Canis lupus familiaris: one gene and its partners. The protein of the gene in region 1 interacts with the protein of each later gene in a pairwise test. Links are inferred from orthologs where the notes say so. Each region holds a gene or a part of one and is shown on either strand. Other genes may lie near its edges.

Region 1 (4,659 bases):
CACTTTGGTCCTAGGTTTCTATGATGATGCTGCACCCCAGGACCACTTCCTGACAGACCCGGCTTTCTCCGAGGCTACTGATGGCACCCAGGAGGGTGGGTCCCCAGCCCTGAGCACTCTGTTTCCTCCACCCCGGGCTCCTGGGAGCCCCCGGGCTCTCAGCCCCCAGGACTATGTGGCCACAGTGGCAGACGCCCTCAAGATGAACAAGAATGTGGTTCTGGCCCGGGCCTGTGGGGCCCTGCCCCCGGAGCGGCTGAGCCGGGGTTCAGGGGGTACCTCTCAGCCACATCACGTGGATGTGTGGCCTCTCAACCTGCTGCGGCCCCGGGGTGGGCCTGGCTACGTGGATGTGTGTGGCCTTTTCCTGCTGCAGATGGCAACCATCTTGGGCATGGTGCCTGCTTGGCATAGCGCCCGGCTCCGGATCTTCTTGTGCCTGGGGCCTCGAGAGGCCCCCGGGGCGGCTGAGGGGCGGCTCCGGGCACTGCTGAGCCAGCTGAGGATCAGAGCCGAAGTACAGGAGGTGGTGTGGGGTGAGGGGGCTGGGGCTGGGGAGCCGGAGGAGGAGGAGGAGGAAGGAGACTTTGTGAATGGCAGGCGGGGAGATGCTGAGGCAGAGGCCCTGGCATGCAGTGCTAACGCCCTGGTTCGGGCCCAGCAGGGGCGCGGCAGAGGAGGCGGGCCCGGTGGGCCTGAGGGTGCGGATGGCGAAGGTGGGCCTGCCACAGCCCTCACTTTCCTATACCTGCCTCGGCCGCCCGCCGATCCTGCCTGCTACACTCGCTACCTGGCGCTCCTGGAGACTCTGACCCATGATCTGGGCCCCACGCTACTCATTCACGGAGTCACCCCAGTCACTTGCACTGATCTCTGATGCCCGGGGCCTGGAGCAGAGGGTGCCCAGGTCCGGTGACCTGCTTTGATCAGTGGATGCAGAAGGGAAGGGCAGCCTCCCGCCTGCTCCACGTGTGGGGTGTGGAGCCCTGTGGAAGTACTAGGGGATCCTGGGCTGGGGCACCCCTCTGTCCCTGTGAGAGGGGCTTTAGTGCACTAATGCAGGGCAGCTGTGTCCCCACCACGCTGGGGGAGAAAGGCAGCAGCCCTCCCCACTGGCCTCCCTTCCTTCACTGGTGCCTTGATGGAGGCTGGGTCTCTGCTTTGACTCTCGGCTACCTCAGTCTCCCCTTGCCCAACAGACTCGCAGACCCCTGAGGTTGTGATGTTTTTGTTCTGTTTTATTTTTCTAACCGCTGAACGTGAATAAAAGACCAAAACACTATGGGCTGGCCTGGCTGAGCACTGCTAGGGGCGGTAGGTGGGGCGGGAAGAGAGAGATCTGGTTGGGGGAGTGTGGGAAAGAGCCGCGCTGGAGCGCGTCCCAGCGGCGAGGTGGCCACGTGCGGGACTTGGGGCGCCAGTCTGGGGGAACGAGTGAAACGGAGGCAGCCTTGGAAAGCTCTCCCTGCTCGGCGGGAGGGGGCCGACTGGGGGAGGGACGGCAGTTTAGGGCCTAGGGGGCCACGTGACCCTCCCCCAGGAATGTGGTGACGTCACCGGGGGCGTGGCTGTCCCCAAAATTGGGGAGGAAGGGGAAAAAAAAGGCCAGAAAAAGTTTCTTTCCTGGAGTTCCAAACGAGGTGTGGGACAGAAGAAGGGGCCAAGACCAGAGTCTTGGGGCTACGTGGGGCCTGACCGCTGTCTAGAGTCTCCTGATCCCGGCCATGTCGGGGCCCACCTGGCTCCCCCCAAGGCAGCTGGAGCCTGCAAGAGCCCCTCAGGGGAGAGCACTCCCCCGAGGTGCCCCGGGGCCGCCGCCAGCCCATGGAGCAGGTAAGGCAGCCCCAGTGCCGCCAAGGAGGCCACTGGCCATTCTGAGCTCACCTTCGCCTTCTGGTTCCTGCCTCCTGCCCCTGGCTTGTCCCTGCCACCCCTTCCCTGAAGCCCTTCCGGCTTCCTGCTCCTGCTCTGTTCTGGGACTCCAAGTGTGGGGGGGGAGGGGAGAAGAGTGACCCATGAGGGCGGCCTCCATAAGTGTCACCCTCCCCTCCTTCCCCATCCCCACCTTGGCTCTCTTTTCCCTCACCCTAGCACATCAGCCCCACCCCAGGGTCAATTTTTGCCCCCTCCCATCTGAGCAGTGTTACCAGGCCCCCGGGGGACCAGATGATCGGGGGTTCCCCTGGGTGGGGTGCCATGGAGCACCCCAGCGCTCACAGGTGAGAATTGGAATTGGGAGTGGGTGGGAGGTGGGGGCACCCGGGGCAAGTGACTTGAATTCTCCCTGCTTTTTCTTCATCTCCAGGGGCTCCCCCCAGACAGGGGGGCCTTGCGTCCAGGAAGTCTGGATGCCGAGATAGATTCGCTGACCAGCATGCTGGCTGAGTTGGATGGAGGTCGTGGTCATGCCCCACGGCGGTCAGACCGGCAGGTGACTTCCCTGTCCCACCCCTGTTCCTTGTCTCCTGCCCTCTTCCACACTCCCCATCCTGGTCCTTTCCCTAGATTCTCAACCTGGTACCCTTCACCCTTGCCCCCATGTGTGATACATGCAGGAGTATCACATCTTACTAGATTGTCAGCCTCTTGAGTGCTTGTCAAAGACCAGCACTACCTTGGGGACACACACACACACACACACACACACACACACGTGGGAGGGCCCACAAGTGTGTGTCCTGGAATGGGCCTTCTCACTCCTGGTCTGTTTCTCCCCAGGCTTATGAGCCCCCTCAGCCCCATGCCTACCGCACAGGCTCAGGCTCCCTGAAGCCGAATGGAGGGGGTGTTCCTATTCCTCCCCAACAGCTCTCAGCGTCTCCCTATGGGGGCCCCACTCCAGCCTCCTATGCTACAGCCAGCACCCCCGCTGGCCCTGCCTTCCCTGTGCAAGTGAAGGTGGCACAACCAGTGAGAGGCTGTGGCCCTCCCAGGCGGGGGGCCTCTCAGGCCTCCGGGGCCCTCCCGGGCCCTCACTTTCCTCTCCCAGGCCAAGGTGAAGTCTGGGGGGCTGGCTATAGGAGCCACCATGAGCCAGGGCCAGGGGTTAAAGAGGAGGCTGCAGGAGGAGGAAGAGGAGGCGCGTATGGGCCCCAGGTAAGCCCTAAGTATTGGGATGTGGGGTCCTCATGGACAACTGGACACTGATTGGGTGGGGTGGGGAGTCCTGGGGTGTTGGAGTTCTGGGTCCCAGGGATGTGGCGCTGGTCAGGAAATAGAAGAGGGAGGTGCTGGAGCTGTACACTGGCTCCTGGAGGTGCACCCCTGGGCCCCGGGCTGAGACCTCGTCAGATGAGCTTTCTGCTTGGAACTGCCTGGTCCCCTTCAGGAAAGTCTGACAGCATAGGGAGCTGGAGGTAGGGCTGAACCCCTGACTCCCCCCTTTCAGGTCCCCCTGAACCAGCCTCCTGAGGAAGAGCTTGAGAGGCTGACGAAGAAACTGGTGCATGACATGAACCATCCTCCCACCGGGGAGTACTTTGGTGAGCTGACCTGAGGTGGGAAGGGGGGCAGGGGACTGGGGAGTCAAGGGGACAGCGAATCCACCTTCCATTCTGCATGCTTATTGACCCTGTCCCTCCCTGTCCCCAGGGCGGTGCGGCGGCTGTGGGGAAGATGTGGTTGGGGATGGGGCTGGCGTTGTGGCCCTGGACCGGGTCTTTCACGTTGGCTGCTTCGTGTGCTCTACATGCCGGGCCCAGCTTCGGGGCCAACATTTCTATGCTGTGGAGAGGAGGGCGTACTGTGAGAGCTGCTATGTGGTGAGTGGGTGTGCTGGGGGTGGCCTGGGTGCTGGAGTCTGTAGCAGGAGGCAGGAGGCTTCCATCTAAGGTAGCAGGAGGCAGGAGGCTTCCATCTAAGGTGGAAACTAGATGTCTAAGCACATGAGAGGGACAGAATTCAAAGGTGGGGGATGCCTGGGTGGCCCAGTGGTTGAGCATCTGCTTTCGGCTCAGGTGGTGATCCTGGAGCCCTGGATTGAGTCCCGTATTGGGTTCCCCCCAGGGAGCCTGCTTCTCCCTCTGCCTATGTCTCTACTTCTCTCTCCGTGTCTCTCATGAATAAATAAATAAAGTCTTAAAGGAAAAAAGAACTCCAAGCTGGGGGACTAAACTGATGTGTAAGAAGGAAGGAATTGGGAAAGTAGTGAAATTACTGGCTGCTGGAGGGAAAGGACAATAGTTCCTTACAAATGTGAGAGGAGGAGGAAGAAGAGGAGGAGACCAGACTTATCTTGAGTTAAGGGAATATGTTAAATTTCCACACTGCTGCCCCTGTGAAGCAGCTGATACTACTGTAGGAAACGGAAGTTGAGACTGGATCACTTCTGTAGGAAGCTACAGTGCTGGGACTTAGATCTGTTCAGGGCCACTTTTCACTGAATCCCTTGCAGGCTATAAAAACAGGTGGGTAGGCCAGCAGGGTGCCTGCCAGCCACCGGACCTCCTCAGCCCTGAACTTGCCACCCTTCCTTTCTAATTCGCTAGGCCACCCTGGAGAAGTGCTCCACATGCTCCCAACCCATCCTGGACCGGATCCTGCGGGCCATGGGGAAAGCCTACCACCCTAGCTGCTTTACCTGTGTGGTGTGCCACCGTGGCCTCGACGGCATCCCTTTCACAGTGGATGCCACCAGCCAGATCCACTGCATTGAGGACT
Region 2 (4,862 bases), on another chromosome or scaffold:
CTAAAAGATGAAACAAAAAATTATAGATTCTAGAAAGAGGTGGGGGGAAAAAATAGCTCTCTTGGTTCCAAGTGACCTGACTGCAGAAGTAAAATAAACACTGCAGTGCACGGAGAGAAAAATCTATCTCCCTGAGCAATTGAAACAGCAGCTTCTGCATCTACTAGTACCTAGCTAGGCACCTTCTTTGCCATTATATAACCAAACCATGGCCTTAATAGGCCATCACACTGTATGTCAACAGCTGTTAGGCACATCTAAGCTGTCAGCATTTAAGAATCCCTTCCAAAGTGGATTCAGACAACCATGGAGCAGGCCAAAATATGCTCATCGTTCACCCAGAGCACATGACAACTCCTTGTGAATTAAGCTTCACTCATGTCGTCAGAGTAATTTAAGCAGCAAAAGATAGGGCACTTGTAACTGTAACTAGGAAATTGCACACTGCTACAGAAACACAAATGAGCGCTGGTGTGGTCCTCGCACACATGCAACTCATTGTCCAAGCCATTTCATTCGGTATCGTTCAGGATTTCAAATATTTCCATACATACGCATTACATAACTGCACACCACAAATGATCAAAGATAAAAACCAACATAAACAGTGACACCCGTGTATAAACAAGCTAATGTTTAAAATGCTGCTATCCTAAAGGACACCAAGGCCTCGGAGAAAAACCAAGAAACACACACACACACATAGGGAAATTAGAAAGCAAGCAGATCAGCCATAATTAGCCACTGGCTTTGCTGACTACTGAAGATAAAAATGTCTCTTTTATATATAAAGCCAAGAATCAACTGTTTGCAATTACATTTACAAAAACATACAACCCTGTCTGTCACAGATTTTTTTTTTTATCAATATTTTGGTGTATCCAAGGGCTGTAAGACACAAAGTTCTTTAAATCATAGATACCATAAACCAGGAAACCAATTAAGTTCATGGAGTCCATCCCCCAGAGGTCAGAGCAAAATAATCACAGGAGCTCAATGTGATTACTTAGAAGAGAGGGGGAGGTTTAAAAAAAAAAAAAAAAAAGGAAATACTGAAACAAGGAACAAAGCTCTCGAACAACTAGTATTGTTTATAAACATAACTTTGGCTTAGCTAACAGTAAATAGAACTGTAAACACCTGGGTGTGCATGGGGGGGGGGGGGGGGGGACAGGCAGAGACGCACCAAAGTCTTGGCTCAGTCTAGTCCCCCTCAGGGTCTGAGGGTGACATCAGAGAATCCTGGACTTTGGTATCTCATTCAGCTCAGACCTGCAGACTTGAGGCCCTCCCATAAAAACTGACAAAAAGGCTGAAGGGGGCCCCCCAGAGGAAGTGAAACTGACCAATCAATTTTCCACAGCCACCTACCCTGCTACCCTGGTGGAAAGGGCCCCTTGTAGGCTCTGACAGAAAGGAGGGAAAAAAGGAACTTCAGGTTGTGAGTGAGCAGGAGAGAAGGCCTAGATAAGTTACTGGCTTCTGAAAATAAGCAATTGCCATAAAAGCAAAAAACAAGGCAGGCGATGATAAGGGCCAGACTGAGGAGGTGAGGAATTGATGTGGCTTTGGTAGGAAGCAGGAGCAGCAGCTCTAAGGGTGCTTCATCAGGTTGAAGGAAAACACAAACTGCAGTTTTAGATATAATGAATGACTACACTGAAAGTATTCATTCAAGTGAGAGATTGAGCAAAGCAAGAGATCTGGAGTACAAATGGGCTTTGTGGGTCCTCTCAAGACCAAAAGATTCCTCCTGAGGACTCTGGTTCCAATACTTCCAGTGAAGAAGGCTACCCCACATTTCCTCAAAAAAAAAAAAGGAATTTTACATGTCAAACCGTACATGTGTACTTATGTGCCTTCCTAACTGACCTTGGCCCATTTCACTAGTAACAGCTCCGCAAATCCCTGGAGAACCAAAGGGCCCAAGGAGTGTACTGATCCTCCAGGGTCTGGGTTCCTCCAACACCTCCTCCGTCACCCACCGGGCTTCCCCCACCACCGCCGAGAGCCCACCCCGGGGCTCTCTGAAAGCCCACGATTCCAGACCCTGCAACAACTAAAAATAAAGCAGCAACCCAGCTCTCCCGAACCGCTTACCCCCTGACTCCCTAGTGCCGTCACGACCCCGGGCGCCCTGGGCCTCTGCTCCCTGAGCCCCTTCCCGCGGAGGAGCCACGCGATCTGCCTCCCCCTCGTTTCCCCGTTTTCTCCGTCGCCTCCTCCAACGATCTCGGGGCCGTCCCCGGGCTCCCGCTCCCCGCCGCGACCTCCCATCAGTCCCGGGCGACCAAGCGCTGCCCGGCGTGTGTCACGGGGCGCCAGGACCGCGCACCCCCGCAGCCCCGCAGCCCCGCGCCCCGGCATGCCCCGGCCGTCCTTGGTCCTCTCCGAAGCCCCCCCGCGGCCACCCCGCGGTCCGCACCTCCTAGCCCCTGCCCCCGTCCCCCGGGGGCTCCAACTGCGGGCTCCCGGGGCCCCCGGCTTCGGGGTGCGGCTCCGCCAGGAGTCCCAGAGCTCCCCCGCCGCCCCCCGCAGCCCCGGCTCCGCAGCGTCGGTCCCCGGCCCCGGCCGCCCGGCCCCGCGCCCCGCGCCCCGCGCTCGCCCCGGCCCCGGCCCCGGCCCCGCGCCCCCGCCCCCGCCCCCGCCCCGGGCCGCGCTGCCGCCGCGCCGCTACCTTGGCCTTGGTGACGAGGTGCGTGGCCCGCTTGACCACCGCGAAGTTGCCCTTGCCGATGGTGCGGTCGATCTCGTAGTAGCCGATGCGCGCAGGCACCGGCCCGCGGGAGGCCGGGGCGGGGGGACGCGGCGGGCCGGCCGCCGGGGGCACGGCAGCGGGGGCGGCCGGCGGCCCCGGGGCGGGCGGAGGCAGCAGGCGGCCCGCCGGCCCGGCTCCCCCCGCCCCGGCCCCGGCAGCCCCGCCAGCTCCGCTCGCCGCCGCCGCCGCCATCTTGTTGTGCAGTGAAACCTCCCGGGCCGCGGGGAGCCGGCGGGGGGGAGGGGGCGGGGGGCGGGAAAAGCGGGGGGGCCGGCCCACGTCACTCCGGGAGGCGGGGCGCCCGCGCCGCCGGGGCCCGGCGCCATGGCAACGGCGCGTCACGTGCCGACGCGCGTCACTGCCCGCGGCCATGGCAACCGTGACGTCACCGGCCCGCCCGCCCGCCCGCCCTCCCCGCGTGGGACGGCGGCCCGGGCGCTGGCTCCCGGGCGCCCCCCTCCGGGGACGGGACGGTGCGCGCCGCCCGCCCGCCCGCCGCTCCGGGACGGCCGCCGCGCTCGCGCTCGCGGGCGGGGGCGGGGGCGGGGGGGGCCGCGGGAGGTGCAGGCCACGGCGCTCCAGGCCACCCGCCCCCTTCAGCAGTCGCCCGGCCTCCCGTGAACCAAAGTACTGCCCCGTCCCCGGAAACCGCGGCCTCGTCCCCCTTTAGCCCTCGAGGCCCCCCAGGCAGGAGCAGCCGCCGCGCCGAGGAAACCGTCAGCAGGCCGGTGGCCGGGCAGGGCAGTTCTTCAGCAAGATTCCTTCCAGCAGCGCAACTGCCCCGCGGCCACCGGGCGCCCCGTCACGGCCCGCGGGGTGGGGGGCGCGGGGGCGGGGCCGCGCGGGGATGCGCTCCGCCGGGGGTCTCCCTCCGCCCGGCCTCCGGCGACCCTGCAGCGGGGGGCGGTCCCGGCGGTCCCGGCGCCGCGTCCTGCTCGTGTCGCTGCCGTGACCCGACGAAGCAGCTGCGCGTCGTCCAGCAGGGCCACGTCGTGCTCAGGGACGAAACCGTCTGTTAGGCAAAATGAAGAAGCAGGTTCTGGCATCATGATTCCCTCCCCACGGGGACCCTCCAAAGACATCGAAGGTGACCAAAGTGACGCTTCCAACAGTGAATCTCACACTCTCTCTCTCTCTCTCCTTCCTCTGCCATCCGGATCCCCCAGGGCCCCTCCTCACTAGCTCCGCGCTTTCCCTTCCACTTCGTCCCACTGCTTCTATTAACTAGATTGATTTAATTGCTTTGGGGGGGGGGATAAGAGGGATAGGCGATGGGGCTGGCAATGGCAAGGTGGCCTTTGGCAGCCTGGGGGGTGCTAGAGACAGGGAGAGGACTGAACGCTCCAGTGTTAAGATGTGCTCAGTCCGGTCCGGATCCATCCACCTGGACGTCTGCCTGTCTGTGCGGCGGAACTGTGTCGTCAGGTGACCGCATGTACCATACCAAAACTGACACCCAGGGCACCGTGAGTGTGTGAGGAGGAGGGAGCCTATTGACTCTCTCTGACCCAAAAATGTTTACGAGCGCGTCCTGGCTCCCCATCTGACTATGAGTAATGGCTGGCACTAGGACGGGACAGAGAGGTCATCCCACAATTGTCTTGCATCAGTTCCCTGGTTGCTGTTCCAAACTGCCAACACAATTAACAGTAATTGGCTGCTTGACTAGCACGTAAGGATAAGGATGCAATGGTCCTCAGCTTCTTGTGTTGGTTAAGCCCTTGCCTTGGTTGAGCTCATTCAATCCCAAATAAATGATGGGGTGTGCCCAACCTCTCTTAGCACTTCATGACCTCACTCACCTGCCTGTGCATTAGCTTTAGCGCTGCACTCCAGAGTCACAGTTTTGCCATCTCCCTGGGGTGGGGGGCCTCAACAGAGATCTTAGCTGGCTAGTAAGGCAAGGGGAAAAGAATCTTTTACTGGGGAGGAACAGAACCAAAACCATTCTCACCAGGGTCTTCACAGCCTCTCCTCCGCTCACAGATATCATTGAACATCCAGTACCACAATTTCTGGCACTCTCTGGAGGGTGTCAAAAGCAAGAAGCTTCTGAGGAGAAACTGGGAAATGGAGCATGGGTCAGTCTCACTTCCAAAGAGGA
Region 3 (4,847 bases), on another chromosome or scaffold:
GTGTCTCTATCTCTGCTCATCCCCTTGCTTGCATGCTCTCTCCCTCTCTTTTTTGAAAAGATGAATAGAATAGAATAGAAATAGAATAGAATAGAATAGAATAATAAAATAAAATAAATAATAAAATAAAACAAAATAAAATATAAAATAAAATAAAATTAAATAAAATTAAATTAAATTAAATTAAATAATATAAAAGGCAGGGAACCAGAAAAGTGATTTTCTTCAGAGGGAGCTGGATGCCAATCCAGAGCCTTCATGTGGATTCAGCAGAGAAACTGTAACTTGGGAGTCCCCGACACTTTGGTCTGGACCTTCCTCTTTTTCTTTTTTTTTCCCCTCTTTTCTACCTTACCCTTCCCACATCACTCAAATTCTTTTTTCTTCCCTCACCACCATCCCAAAATGGACTTCAAATTTATCTTTTTGATGTTCTCTTCTGTGAGGCATCACATCACAGTCAAGATACAGTAAGAAGACTAAATTCAAAACAGCACATTTTTTATAACCTTGATTATGCATTTCTTCCTTTAAAAAAAAAAAAAAACTCTGGGTTTGCTCCTCTTTGTCTAAAAAGGAGACCAGAGGCCTTAGTATCTGGCTTTTCCCTCCAGGATTATAGCACTTGGATTACATGTCACAACAGTTGGGCCTTTGTCTAGAATGGAGAGGAGACCGCCAAACTGGAGTGACCTTAGGGAGCAAACAAATGCACAGAACAGTCGCAACCAGAAGGGTTGCAACTTGATGCAAGAAATCAATTTATAAGGGATACCTGGGGAGCTCAGTCAGTTAAGCCTCCAACTCTTGATTTCAATTCAGGTCGTGATCTCAGGGTCATGAGATTGAGCCCCACATCAGGCTCTGCACTCAGCAGTCTGCTTGAGATTCTCTCTCCCTCTCCCTCTCCCTCACTAAATAAATATATCTTTAAATAAATATATCTTTGAAAAAATGAATCTGTAAGATCAGATATCCTTCAGGAACTCCCACTGAATGTGTAAAGCCCTGAACAATCCTGACTGATATCCCCCATTCCTCCCGACTTGGAAAACTCCAGAAGAGTGGCTCCTTTACACAGCTCTCACCTCACCCAGGCCATCGGGGAGCTGACCATGGGAGGGGCATGGGGAAGGACCCCCACTTTATTCCCCCTGTTCTTGGTGGGGCATCATGGCAAGTAGTCTGCAGAGAAGTCACCTGGATCCCTCTGGGACACACCTGGGGCTCACCTGGCACAGGAAACAAAGACCACAAGTTAGCGGAAACCTTCCATGCTCGCCCCCAATTGTTAATGAATTCACTTGCTGTCAATCCATCCCACCTGGATATCTGTTCCAGGTCCTGACAGGACACACAATGAAGAGAGTGAGTTCAAGGCCAAAGGGCCACAAATCCAAGCCCCCCAGGCCCTGAAAGGGAGCCACTACCCTAGTTGCAAGGAATCTGAAGTCGGAGACAGCCTTTTCAGTTGCCCCTAGAACCCATCTGAATCCTGTTACAACCAACACCAAAACCACCACCTTACCTTTGCAGAAAACTTTAACTCTACAGAGAGCTTTCTGAAAAGGACACTGTGATGTACTGGAAAGAATGCTGGCTTAAGATTCAGGAAACGAATGATCTAAGCTGGCACTAAGCATCTGGGAGACTCTGGCAAGACAATCCCCTACCTCCCACCTCAAGGCCTTAGTTTTCAAGGGAAACCTCTGTAAATGGCGAGGTTCTGGCTTAATTAACCTGAAAGCGGTTAAGTCCGTAGTAAAATGGTCACGAAAACGGGTATTTGCCCCTTCCAGGACAAGCTACGCTCCCTCCATCTGACATTTGGAAACTTGATAGATATTCTGTTCTCCAAGCTTTGTAACGCCTAAAATTTTAACATAAACGCTAACAATAAATCAAAATTTCAGGGATCCAGGGGATTCAGCCCCAGGTGGACATGTTGACAAGCCAGGGCCTTGGAGATCCTTGAAATCCCACCCTCCTGCTTTCCAAAAGCAATATCCTTTCCCAGGGGACCCTTGTGCTCTGCTTCCTCCTACAGCTTTCCCGGTAAAGGGACCCCCATCCCTCTGGTCTGGCTTATGCTCTGCAAGAAGGAAAAAGGCTGAGGGAGGTGTGCACAGCCTGAAGACAGGCAGCCGGGAAAATACTGAGGCTGGAGCCACCAACAGGGAGTCTGGGGGTGAAACCAAGAACTATAGGGTGCAAGATGGGGGAGGGTGTTGCACCTTTTTCTGTCCCCTTCGTTTGTCTTTAGGATATCAGAACGTATCATGACACTTCAGTGACGGGGGTGGGGTGGGGGGGGTGGTGGTTACAGTGGCTGGGACAGGTAGGGGCTCTGGTCCCCCAGAGGTGTGGATCGGAGGTGGGAGTGTCAGGGTGGGTTATGGGGACTCAAAATATAGGAGGGCTTGCGGAAACATGGGTAAGTTTTCTGCATTAAAGCGTGGTGCAAGGAGAACGGGGCGTATGCAGGATCAGGAACCGCAGCGCTCTGGAAGCATCTGGGGGGCATTCCGGAGAGTGGTGGCTCTGCGGGCGTGAACAGGAGAATTCGCAGGAGTGAGGGGGTTCCAAGGGCTCCAGGACAAGCCGAGGTGTGTCCGGGGTTGGGGGTGGGGTGGTTCTGGGGAATGAGCGACAGATTCGGGTGGCGGGGTTGTCAGGGAATTTCTACAGACACCGGGAAGCGATGGGGGAGGTCGGGGCCGCGCGCCGTCCCAGATCCCCGCCCCCAGCCCCGGGACTCCACCGCCCGCCCGCCCAGGGCTTCCTCGGGAGGGAGCGGAGGCTGTGGCGCGGCGCGGTGCGGCCTCGGTGGAACCGCCTCGTCCCCGCCCCGCCGCGCCCCGACTCACATCGCCCCGCGGCCCGGGCGGCGCCGGGCCCCGCTCCCGGGTCCCGCTGCAGCAGCCGCCGCCCGCCCGGAGCTAAGGCCTCCCCGCCCCGCCCCGCCCCGCGGCCGCGGGGTCGGAGGTCACCGGCAGCACCAACGAGACGCTGCGGGCGGGCGGACCCGATCGGGGGCGACCAGCGCGCAGCCTAGAAGGTCCCCTTGGAGGACTTTGCAGTCGGGAGCGGGGAGCATGCGCAGACGCCAGAGGGCGCTCCGGGCCAGCCGCGGAGCTAGCCCCACGGAGAGGGGCGGGGCGGGGCGGGGGCGGGGCCGAGAAGGGACCCAGAGATGGGACCGGAGGTTTCCACTCCCCGGATCAGAAGAGGGACCGGGGTCGGGGGAAGAGACAAAAAAGATAGGGGAAGGGCCTGAACGGCCTGCCTGCAGGGAGAAAGGCAAGATGAAGAATCCCTAAAGAGGGCTGGGGACCGGGGGAGGCAACTGAGAGGGGTGAGGAGAGGGGCGGGGCCGGAGGAGGGTCTGAGGGGACCTGCCGGCTCGGAGAGGCGCACGGTTCCGCCAATGACTGAAGACCCGGCCCGACGGCGGCTCCCAGGTGTCCGCCCCGTGCCCGCGGGGGCGCAGTGCCTTCGCGAGCCCCTGGGAGTGGGGAGGGGCAGTGGAGCCTGCACTCTCCACCCTGCGGTCCCCCAGATCCTGTCCTTCCGGCTGCAACTCCAGGCCCCGCGCCAGCTGCCCGCTCTTCCAGTCCGGGAGGGGCGGGCGGGGGCCGCGGGAGGCGAGGGAGAGGGCGGGCGGCGCTCCCGGGGCGGGCGGGGGCGGGCGCTGAGGCCTCAGGGTGGGGACTGGGCGGGGGGCCGGCCGGCGGGGTCCGTCCAGAGCTGCCCGGACGCCGGCGCGCAGCGAGGGTGAGACCCCGGCGGAGTCCCGTGCCCTCCCCTAAGCTCCCAGCACCCAGACTGGGAACCCCGGGGTTCCCGACTCCCGGGGACGTCCAAGAACAAGCCCTAGGAATCTGTCGAGGGGACACTTGGCAGGGCCGGGTACTTCTCTCTCTCGCTGTCCGCGGAAAACCTTCCCATCCTTTTACCTCCCTGGTCCCTAGGGCTGTGCAGGCTCTGCCCTCCAGGGCAGGGGCGGATTGGGAAGAGTGAACTCTTGAACCGGGTTGCACCTGCGCGGGGGCGGGAGACAGGGTTCAGCCCTGAGAAGGAGGGGGATTCTTGAAGAAATCCAGCTTGTTAGTAAGACCGGGTCCAGGGCTGAGTGGAGATGGGAGGATGGAAGGGTGAGGGGTGAGAGCTGACTTCTGAGCATTGTTTCTGTGCGGGGCAATTGCAGACAAACTAGAACCTGGAAGAGGGTGCAAATCCACCCTGAGGTCCCAGGTGGCTCCGAACCCTCTCCCAAGTGCCTCTTGCCGCCTGGATGGAGCAGGGGCAGTGCTGTCAGGGGAAGTGGCTACTCCTGGCCCTGAATGTGAACAGCCCATCCTGGCTGCTTTCCACAGGAAACATGACAGAACAGGAAGGAAGCAGATGGGTGTGGAAGCAGGGATGGGTGGCACAGGACGTCTGAAGGGGGTGGGAGGGCTGGGAACCAATATAACTGTTAAGAGTCCAAACCTTGTTCTCAACTCCACAGCTGAGTTTTATAGAGGCCTGGGATCTGGTGAGGACCTCCTGTGCCCTAGCTGCTGTCAAAATCCATCCTAGACCTCAAAGGCAACTTCTTCCTAGGACATCCCCCAGTTTTTTAGTGTGACCTTAGGCAAGTTAACCTCAGTTTGTTTCAGCTCTCAACTGGGATAACAGAAACTACCTGATAGGATTGTTTTAAGGATGCATTCTATTATGTAAAGTGCTATTTTGGTCCCTTGCACAGAGTAAACATTACAGAAAAGTTTGCTCTGGTTATTTTTCTCCTAGAGTGCCATATATACCTGCCTAGAGCTCTGGCCCTATTCAGTCTAGTCTCATCT

The links. The genes of interacting proteins can lie anywhere in the genome.
Region 2: the proteins of TRIP6 (region 1) and SIK3 interact in binary tests that used the Homo sapiens proteins (3 or more experiments, as listed by UniProt). The two-hybrid records come from large-scale screens. The link is inferred for Canis lupus familiaris from reciprocal best matches to the Homo sapiens genes TRIP6 and SIK3.
Region 3: the proteins of TRIP6 (region 1) and FRS3 interact in binary tests that used the Homo sapiens proteins (3 or more experiments, as listed by UniProt). The two-hybrid records come from large-scale screens. The link is inferred for Canis lupus familiaris from reciprocal best matches to the Homo sapiens genes TRIP6 and FRS3.

What each region holds. Positions count from the first base shown.
Region 1 is NC_049227.1:8,843,362-8,848,020, reverse strand, and holds the start of TRIP6 (thyroid receptor-interacting protein 6), read left to right. Parts: upstream 1-1,420; 5' UTR 1,421-1,724; coding exon 1,725-1,833; intron 1,834-2,091; coding exon 2,092-2,219; intron 2,220-2,305; coding exon 2,306-2,431; intron 2,432-2,718; coding exon 2,719-3,096; intron 3,097-3,388; coding exon 3,389-3,482; intron 3,483-3,591; coding exon 3,592-3,761; intron 3,762-4,487; coding exon 4,488-4,659. Other genes in the region: SLC12A9 (solute carrier family 12 member 9), read left to right, coding at 1-877. UniProt on the Homo sapiens protein: Relays signals from the cell surface to the nucleus to weaken adherens junction and promote actin cytoskeleton reorganization and cell invasiveness. Involved in lysophosphatidic acid-induced cell adhesion and migration.
Region 2 is NC_049226.1:16,519,855-16,524,716, reverse strand, and holds the start of SIK3 (serine/threonine-protein kinase SIK3), read right to left. Parts: upstream 2,951-4,862; coding exon 2,678-2,950; intron 1-2,677. UniProt on the Homo sapiens protein: Positive regulator of mTOR signaling that functions by triggering the degradation of DEPTOR, an mTOR inhibitor. Involved in the dynamic regulation of mTOR signaling in chondrocyte differentiation during skeletogenesis.
Region 3 is NC_049233.1:10,652,148-10,656,994, forward strand, and holds the start of FRS3 (fibroblast growth factor receptor substrate 3), read right to left. Parts: upstream 2,951-4,847; 5' UTR 2,868-2,950; intron 2,607-2,867; exon of another isoform or gene 2,468-2,606; intron 1,718-2,467; exon of another isoform or gene 1,529-1,717; intron 1,233-1,528; 5' UTR 1,089-1,232; intron 1-1,088. UniProt on the Homo sapiens protein: Adapter protein that links FGF and NGF receptors to downstream signaling pathways. Involved in the activation of MAP kinases. Down-regulates ERK2 signaling by interfering with the phosphorylation and nuclear translocation of ERK2.